2 linked regions of the Drosophila melanogaster genome follow. The protein of the gene in region 1 purifies or fractionates together with the protein of each later gene. This does not show direct contact. Each region holds a gene or a part of one and is shown in the gene's direction. Other genes may lie near its edges. The genes, in order: Fib and wcd.

Region 1 (4,557 bases):
CTCCATGCGAGTGAGCGTTATGTTCCTGTCCGTCTGCGAGGCGTTGGCCACCTTGGAGCCGAACTCGCCGCCCCGGAGACGCATGCGCAAGTCCAGGGCCCTGATGTCCGTCATCAGCGAGTGCTGCTTGTTCTCCAGATCCACGTCGATTCGCTTGCCGTGCTCCTCCAGCAGACTAAAGTTGGTCTTGCTCTCGTCGATCTTGACCTGCAGTCGGCGTCGTATCTCTCGCAGCTTCTCCACCTCCAAGCAGAGCATGTCGTGCGCCTGGTCCATGCACAGTTCCATGCCCGACCTCTGGGCACGATTCTCCAGGCGTGTCTCGGCCAGCTTCAGTGCATCCGTCTTGTCACGCAGCGCATTCTCCGAGGTGCGGATCTCGCACATGGCCTTCTCCATCTCCTCCTTCATCTTGAGCTGCTGCCACTCCAGTTCGTTTCTGGCCCGCTGCGTCTCGAAGATCCGTTTGCGGATGGTGTGCTCCGCCCGCTCCTGCTGCGACTGCAGCATGTTGCGCGCCTTTTCGCGGCACACGAACAAAGCCTCCCGAATGGCGTACGTGTCGGCCAGCTCATTCTCCGCCAGCAGCTTTATGTTCTTCACGTTCTCCAGCCAGGACTCGTAGGAACAGGAGCTAAGTGATTGGTTAGTTATCCTACTGAGCTACTGGGACATTCCATGTGTGACTTACTTCTTGGGATTTCTCGTGGGATCCGGCTTGTATGAGATATTGGCCGAGTTGCGATCGAGCGCCAGCTGTGAGTTGTCCAGCTGCACCGCCTCCACCTTGAACTCGATCTCCAGGCCGATCTTGAAGCGCACTTCCTCCAGACGATTGAGCTTCTCCCACGCCTTCTGGCATCGATCGGCCAGCAGGCGCTGGTTGTTCTCCAGCACGACCAGTTCGTTCTTGATCTCGGTGTCGGCCTCATCGTAGGTGATCTCCGATCCGAGGCGACCGTCCCTTATGGTCAGGCACTCGGCTATCACGGAAATCGGACCTGCCAACGCCTCCAGCTCCCGTTCCGTGGCATTCTTCTCCTCCTGCAGCATGAATATCTCGCGCTCGATCTTCTCGAAGGACTTGGAAATGATATCCCGCCAGCGATTCAACTCGGAGATGCTGATGTATAAATTACAGATTATTAATCGTGCTGTTAATCTTAATATAAGATATGGACACTCACCGATCGGTCAGAGCCTCATTTGTCTCGTAGTTGGCCCAGTCGCCCTCGATCCGCGTCTCGTTCCTCAAGGATCGGGATGAGTGGCGGATGGCGAAGGCGTCCGACCTCCGGGCATCCGCCACATTCCGCATCTGGTTCACACGGGCATACCAGTCCGTCAGCGAAATGTGCTGGAGCGGCTTCTCCATCGTAACCACCGAGCGGAAGGCCATTATGTTTGCAAAAGTTTAGGTAAAACAGCAGGATTTATGCGTTAACAATTTCAGAAAGTGTGTGCTCCCAACTAGAACTCTCAAAGCGGAATGGAACGTTTTTCTCAAACATCGATTTCAAGTGGCTGTTTGTTTGGTCAACGAACACTAGATCTCCAAGGCACTGGGGTCATTGTCAAGGACTACGGGATTGTAATTATTAATCATATACTTCCATAGTTACATGCATCAAATAAGTAAAATATAATAATGTAGTGGCTCATAAAAATTAAATTAATTTAATAAATCAATCAATAATTTAATTGATCAATCAATTTTTGAATTGAATACAAAAAAAAAAGAATTACATTATTTGCAAGATATCCAAGAATAAAATGTACAGTTTTTCAACCTTTGTACCACTATGCACAATTGCCTCTCCGCCTGGTGTTGAACTTAGCTACAGTCCCAGCCAAGTTTCCCACCTAACACACACACTAACATCATTCTCTTGGTATTTTCGCCTTTGTACTTCTGTATATTATCACTAAAATCACTGCTGCGGCCACACTCCGGCACACACGTGTTTTTCTTTTCAAGCGTTTTGGTTGCCGCGTGTTGACGGACTCAATCACATTTCGTCGAAAGTTGTATTAAAAAGTGCAAGTACAGCAACATAAAATGGGCAAACCAGGTGCGTAAAATCACGCTCTAACGATACAAATCGAAGCAGGCGTCGCCTTTGCTTTTGATAGTCTCCAACTTAACCTCTGAGTCAACCGAAATTCAAATGCGGATCTTTTCTATTGCAGGATTCAGTCCACGCGGTGGTGGCGGCGGCGGCGGAGGAGGAGGAGGTGGATTCCGTGGGCGTGGTGGCGGCGGCGGCGGAGGAGGCGGTGGATTTGGAGGCGGCCGTGGACGCGGTGGCGGCGGCGATCGCGGTGGCCGTGGAGGATTCGGTGGTGGCCGTGGAGGAGGTGGTCGCGGTGGTGGTGGCGGCGGCGGCCGTGGTGCCTTCGGAGGACGTGGCGGCGGCGGTGGTCGCGGTGGCGGCGGCCGTGGAGGCGGTGGTCGCGGCGGAGGAGGACGTGGTGGTGGTGCTGGCGGCTTCAAGGGCGGCAAGACCGTCACCATCGAGCCGCATCGTCACGAGGGAGTGTTCATTGCGCGCGGCAAGGAGGACGCTCTGGTCACCAGGAACTTTGTACCTGGATCCGAAGTCTACGGCGAGAAGCGCATCTCCGTTGAGGTTTGTTGTTCTCATCTTTATTCACTTACCTTCCCTATTCCTAGCTTATGATGAGGTTGTGCAGGGGTACAGAACATGGCATCATGTGGCCATGAGCATCCTTGGCGGTCACCTGTGGCTGTGTGCACTTCAGGTGCACGTGAAGCAGTCGCGGAGCTCCAAGGGCTGCTTAGAATAATGCACAACTGAGGCGAATTCCTATCTATCTACCCTTCTATCCCAAAACAAACAGAACCCAAACAAGTCCACCATCTTGAAAAGTGATTTGAAGCTACCTGAACAATCCAAACAACTCTGTATTTCACTCAACTTACTTACTTCTTGCTTTCTGCTATAATTTTTAAGAAAGAGCAATGGATTTAAATCTGTTCTTCTTTGCAGACCAATGGCGAGAAGATTGAGTACCGCGTGTGGAATCCCTTCCGCTCCAAGCTGGCTGCCGCCGTTCTGGGTGGCGTCGAGCAGATTCACATGCCGCCGGGCTCGAAGGTTCTCTACCTGGGCGCCGCCTCCGGAACGACAGTCTCGCATGTGTCCGATGTGGTGGGACCCGAGGGCCTGGTCTACGCCGTGGAGTTCTCACACCGATCCGGTCGCGATCTGATCAACGTGGCCAAGAAGCGCACCAACATCATACCCATCATCGAGGACGCTCGCCATCCACACAAGTACCGCATGCTGGTGGGCATGGTGGACACCATCTTCGCCGACGTTGCCCAGCCGGATCAGGGCCGCATTGTGGCGCTGAATGCCCAGCACTTCCTGAAGAACGGCGGACACTTTGTCATCTCGATCAAGGCCTCCTGCATCGACTCGACGGCGCAGCCCGAAGCGGTATTCGCTGCCGAGGTGAAGAAGATGCAGGCGGACAAGCTGAAGCCCCAAGAGCAGCTCACGCTGGAGCCCTACGAGCGAGACCACGCCGTTGTCGTTGGCGTCTACCGACCACCGCCCAAGCAGTAAGAAGTCGTTTTCTGCTGGGTTTAGTTTTAAGGCTATTGTACTAATACAGACGAGTTGTATTAAGTTTCTTTTAAATATAAAACCGTAGTTATAAAGATAAATCAAAATGCACATTATTTTTGTAGCAGACGTACAAAATATACACAAAAACCAAATGCCAGTGTAACAATATGGAGTTCCTATGAAAGATGAAGATCTTTAAAGTCAATCTTTGTACAAACGTGGTTTTTCTGAGGGGTATTGCGGAAAATGGTTGGGCAAGGCTGGTATACACTAGTTTGTTTTCATCTTCATCACAGAAAGTATAATGCTTAACAATGAAATGTCAAAGAAATATTAAGGTCAGCTATTAGTACCCTCTGCAAATTCACAATAAATAAAAAATAAAAAAAGTTCTGCGCTGCGGACAGGATTCGAACCTGCGCGGGTAGAACCCAATGGATTTCAAGTCCATCTCCTTAACCACTCGGACACCGCAACTGTGTCGCCCCGGTGGCAAAGTTCCTATTTGGTATGAAGCATAGATTTCAGCACCCCCCTCACCTATCTTCGCCAGGTATGACGCACCATTTATACAGACACGAACCAAGAACTATTCACGGGGTGGTGTCTCGGCTTAAGCCATTCTTAATGAAAATTGGAGTTTCGTTCACGTGGGGCTAATGAATCCATAAAGATTATTAGCTTAATACATAAATAAATAAAATAATGTAGCAATACATTATTTTTTAGTTCGCTCTCACTTAAGCTAATAGTTTACATATAGAAGTATGAGCACATGTCATGAAGAGCAGCTATCAATTAAACTAAAACTTGTGGTATTGAAGAAATTGAACTGCATATTTCTGCATTCAAATATCTAGTGATTTACTGTCATCGCTTTGCAGAAATTCAGATGCTTATCAGCATAGAATTATGCAGGGAGAGATATCAGTGACAAATGGAGCGGACTTCAATAAGGCTG
Region 2 (4,220 bases), 6.7 Mb from region 1:
ACTTTGGCGAGAGCACCACCCCCAGTGGATGGGTAAATTAGTGGGTGGTTGGGTGGTTAGTGGGTGGATGAGACTGGTGCTCTCCTGGTTGTGCGTGTGTAATGACAAGTTCAACAACAACTCGACATTGTCGACTGGTGACGAGGACGACGTGCTCCGACATTTGTTTGCCCAAGTTATGCAAATATTTTTCCAGTCAAGAAGTTTTTGTTTAATTGCATATTTTGACTCGCATTACGCGTGTCATAAAGCAGGGATCCGGAGCTTACCACAATGCCAGAAGTTGGGCGGGGATTAGAGGCACTCGAAAGACATGTTCCTGCATTTTACAGTTCAAAGACCAAACTAAACAATCAGTTTTACGAGTATAGATCTTATTCTGCCCAGGCTTGCCATTGAACTATAGCTATCTTCCTTAGAAATTAATTTAAATTAAATTTATATTTAAGTCTCTAAGATGATATTTTAAAAATAATTCCTAACACAGACGAAATCATGGAGAAGCCTTTAATATGGTTCATAAAACATAATTTATTTGCTGCGTTCGAAACTGTGAAGCTGACCTACTTCATTTAAAAACGAAATTAAACCGAATATATATAGTATGTATACTTCTGCTTTAGACAGTAAAAATGCATGAAGATTGTTTGCTTAATTGGTTAAACTAAATGATGGCTAAATATATTACCACCTCATTTATGGTAATCCGAATAAAACGTTTAATTTTTTTTTGGAGGAAAGCGTTGGATTCGAATTTCATTGCCTGGACAAATTTAAAAAGTTTACATTTTTGAGGCATACCTATCGCGTATACGCTTTCTTTCTTTTCCAGCCCTGACAGTTTCCGAGTATCGAGTATCGAGTATTACTTTCTATCTTTCAATGACAATGACCGGCGACTTTCTCACTTTCTTCGTACGCTTCTTACTGGCGAAACACAAGAGCCCACAAAGGATTATGACAAGTGCTGGCAACTGGATTTCCGAGGAGCTGGAACCAGCTACTCTACTGTCGATTCAGGAGGATAATGGTATTGTTACCAAGGTGTACGTGGCGCCCTGTTTGCAGCCGATAAAAGAGGAGAAAGTTTTCCTGGAGGACAACACGCAACGCTTCCACTGTCCGCTTTGCTCTAATGTGATTCGCACGGCCGGTGCCTACAAGGTCCATCTGATGGCCTGCCAAAGACGCTTGGCACGCATGATGAAGGATGTGCCGGACGTGTCCCAGCATCAGTGCAACATTTGCAAGAAAATCTTCTCCTCGGTGGATGCCCTGATCGGCCACAGGCTCCTGCATGGAAGCCCATCAATGAATCGCACCTGTGCATCCTGCCATGTCAAGTTCGGGACGGATCTGGAGTATCGCACCCATTTGGAGAGCCATCTGATACCGTGCGAGTCCACGGATGAATCCTACGAAGGGGCGTACACCATCACCAAGACCTTCAATTGCGTCTTTTGTCGCACGGAGTTCAAGGCCTGCTTTAAGCCTGGCCAAGTGACCCGTCGATACGCGTGCGACGCATGTATCGTAAGGCTGAAGGCCCAGGAGGAGGAGAAAAAGATCTTAGGGAAGAGAAGGCCCGAATTAATCTGTGATCGTTGTGGGAAAAAGTACAAATATGAGGGTTTCCTTCACCGTCATCTGAAAACTTGCCAGATGCCGGATAAATGCAAAAGAAAGCGTGAGATTGAAATCACCGAGGTCAGCGAGGTAACATTTACAGAAGTTGTGCAAAGTTTTAATAATTGATTATACAAATTCGCACATTTTAATTTTAAATTAAATAAATATATTTTTTAATTGTAATATTTTTTATAATTTTCAAATTATGGCGCCCATCCCACCGATATCTATTTCGATCTGCTATCGATGTGGTCACACTTATCGATAAATCCACCGTGGCGTGGTATTTTTGATTTAAAGCGTTAGTCGATTTCCCGCCCAGCTGCACGTGTATATTTTTTTGCGGTCCAAAGAAAAGTTCGTAAATAAACGAATTTGCGTGCATTTCCAGCGAACACGATGAGTTCAGACGAGTCCAGCGACGGTTTGGAGGAGCTGCAGAGTCTGAAGGCCCTCTACGGCCAGCAGGAGCAAGAGAAACCGGCAAAGATCAAAAGGGAACGTTATATTCCAAAGGCCTCGCAGGCCAAGGAGCTCAACTATGTGGAGGTGCCCATGGAAAAGGTGCTCTTCGGCGACAGGCAGCGACTGCTCACCAATCTAGCCAAGTCCGTGGGACAAAAGTTGCCGAACGATGACGAAGACGAGCAGGAGGAAAATCCCGGCCAGGCAAAGCCAGGCGACAAGCGGAAAGCCGCCTGGTCGGATTCCGATGACGAGGACCTGCAGGTGGGCGATGTCAAGAAGGCCACAAAGCACACGGGTCCACTGAACCACCTGCGCAAGGATAAATCGTACAAGGAGTATCTTACGGCGCGATTCCAGCGCACGCTTAACCAACCCAAGTGGGCGGAAAAGAAGGTCAAAAATGAGGACGACGAGGACGTATCCTCCGACGAAGAACTGCTGCGGACGGTTGGCTTTATCGATCGTAAAGCCCGGAACAGTGATCTGCCCCAGAAGACTCTGAATTTTAAACGGGTCAAAGACCTGAACAGGGCCACATATGCCGAGGGTAATGCCACCAGCATTCAGTTTCATCCAACCAGTACTGCTGCTCTAGTGGCGGGCATGAATGGCCTAGCCACCATCTACGCCGTGGATGGGCAAAAGAACGAAAGGTTGCACAACATGCGCTTCAAGAAGTTCCCGCTGGCGTGCTCCAGAATTGCTCCATGCGGCACAAGGGCGTTCTTTGGTTCTGTGAAACCATTCTACTACTCCTACGACTTGCTGGAAGCCAAGGAATCGAAGCTAAAGCTGCCGGGCGCAATGGAATTTATGCACCGCTTTGAGGTGTCTCCATGTGGCAAATTTATCGTCACTGCTGGCAAGTTTGGAGCCATTCACCTGCTCACGGCCAAAACAAATGAGCTGCTGCACAGCTTCAAGCAGGAGGGCAAAGTGAAGGGATTCACATGGTCTAGTGACTCCAAGAGGATCCTCGTCTGCGGTTCCACTTCCAATGTCAGCGTGCTGAACCTGCGCCAGAACCTCATCGAGCACATCTTCATGGACGACGGCTGTATACATGGAGAGTCCATTCAACTGTCTCCCAACCAACGCCTACTGGCCACCGGCAGTCAAGAGGGCGTGGTCAACATCTACGACTACGAGAGCATTTTCGCATCCAAGGCCCCACAACCCGAGAAGCGCTTCATGAACCTACGGACTGCCATCACGGATCTCCAGTTCAATCACTCATCTGAGCTACTGGCGATGTGCTCCAGTGAGGCGCCGAATGCTTTTAAGCTGGCCCATTTCCCCAGCGCCACTGTGTACTCCAATTTCCCGGCACAGAACGAGAAGGTTGGCTTTGTGACCTCCATGGCCTTTTCGCCGCACAGCAGCTTCCTGGCCTTTGCCACTAAGGGCAAACAGGTGCCGCTCTTTAGGCTTAAGTACTTCAAGGGTTATTAATTGAAGGCAGTATGATGTTTACAATAAATTCTTAAATAAAATCATTACTCTTTCTGTGGTTACAATGGAACCATCTTTATTTAAGTTAACAAATTAAGGGGACTTATCTTTAGAAAGGAGCTCGGAAAATATCGCGTTTCTGGGAGTCTTGAATCTTGCCAATGTCTTCCAGCTTCTTGCTGATGTTCGTCGACTGCGATTCGATCCACTGCAACGAATTCATATGGGCATTAAGGATTTTTCCGATCTGTATGATGGGATCAGTGGTGTCCTGGCCCTTGTTGGCCTCGTTCAAGTTGTCTATTATCTCCTTTAGATCCTCGGACATCTGCTTCAGTTGTGTGTCCAGATTCTCCACCATCAGGTAGGTTTGGCTGCGTTCCATGTCCACCCTCGGGAGATTAACGAATTCCTTCTCAAGCGGTCCCAGGCTGTCCTCAAGCTCTTTTTGCTGCGTGGCTATAAACTCCAGCTCCTGGTCCAGCACTTGCTGATCGGTTTTCACTTTTTTCACGGCATCGTTGAGCTCGACGATCTTCCCGTTGTTGCTGATGAGCAGTTTGTCCCATGCGTTGATCTGAGTGGCCTGTTCGGTGAATACCTTTTCCTGTTCCTCGAACTCGAGAGTCCACTTGTTGATATGCTCCTCAAGTTGGTGGTAGGACAATTGG

The links.
Region 2: the proteins of Fib (region 1) and wcd purify together in Drosophila melanogaster (affinity purification with western blotting; one study listed by BioGRID). This does not show direct contact.

What each region holds. Positions count from the first base shown.
Region 1 is NT_033778.4:23,072,097-23,076,653, reverse strand, and holds Fib (fibrillarin), read left to right. Parts: upstream 1-1,928; 5' UTR 1,929-2,059; coding exon 2,060-2,072; intron 2,073-2,190; coding exon 2,191-2,630; intron 2,631-2,685; exon of another isoform or gene 2,686-2,825; intron 2,826-3,011; coding exon 3,012-3,593; 3' UTR 3,594-3,745; downstream 3,746-4,557. Other genes in the region: CG3085 (uncharacterized protein), read right to left, coding at 1-634, 692-1,123, 1,188-1,399. UniProt on the Drosophila melanogaster protein: S-adenosyl-L-methionine-dependent methyltransferase that has the ability to methylate both RNAs and proteins. Involved in pre-rRNA processing.
Region 2 is NT_033778.4:16,345,204-16,349,423, reverse strand, and holds wcd (wicked), read left to right. Parts: upstream 1-1,923; 5' UTR 1,924-2,028; coding exon 2,029-3,549; 3' UTR 3,550-3,586; downstream 3,587-4,220. Other genes in the region: CG15710 (uncharacterized protein), read left to right, coding at 958-1,755; Nup62 (nucleoporin 62kD), read right to left, coding at 3,659-4,220. UniProt on the Drosophila melanogaster protein: Component of a nucleolar small nuclear ribonucleoprotein particle (snoRNP) thought to participate in the processing and modification of pre-ribosomal RNA.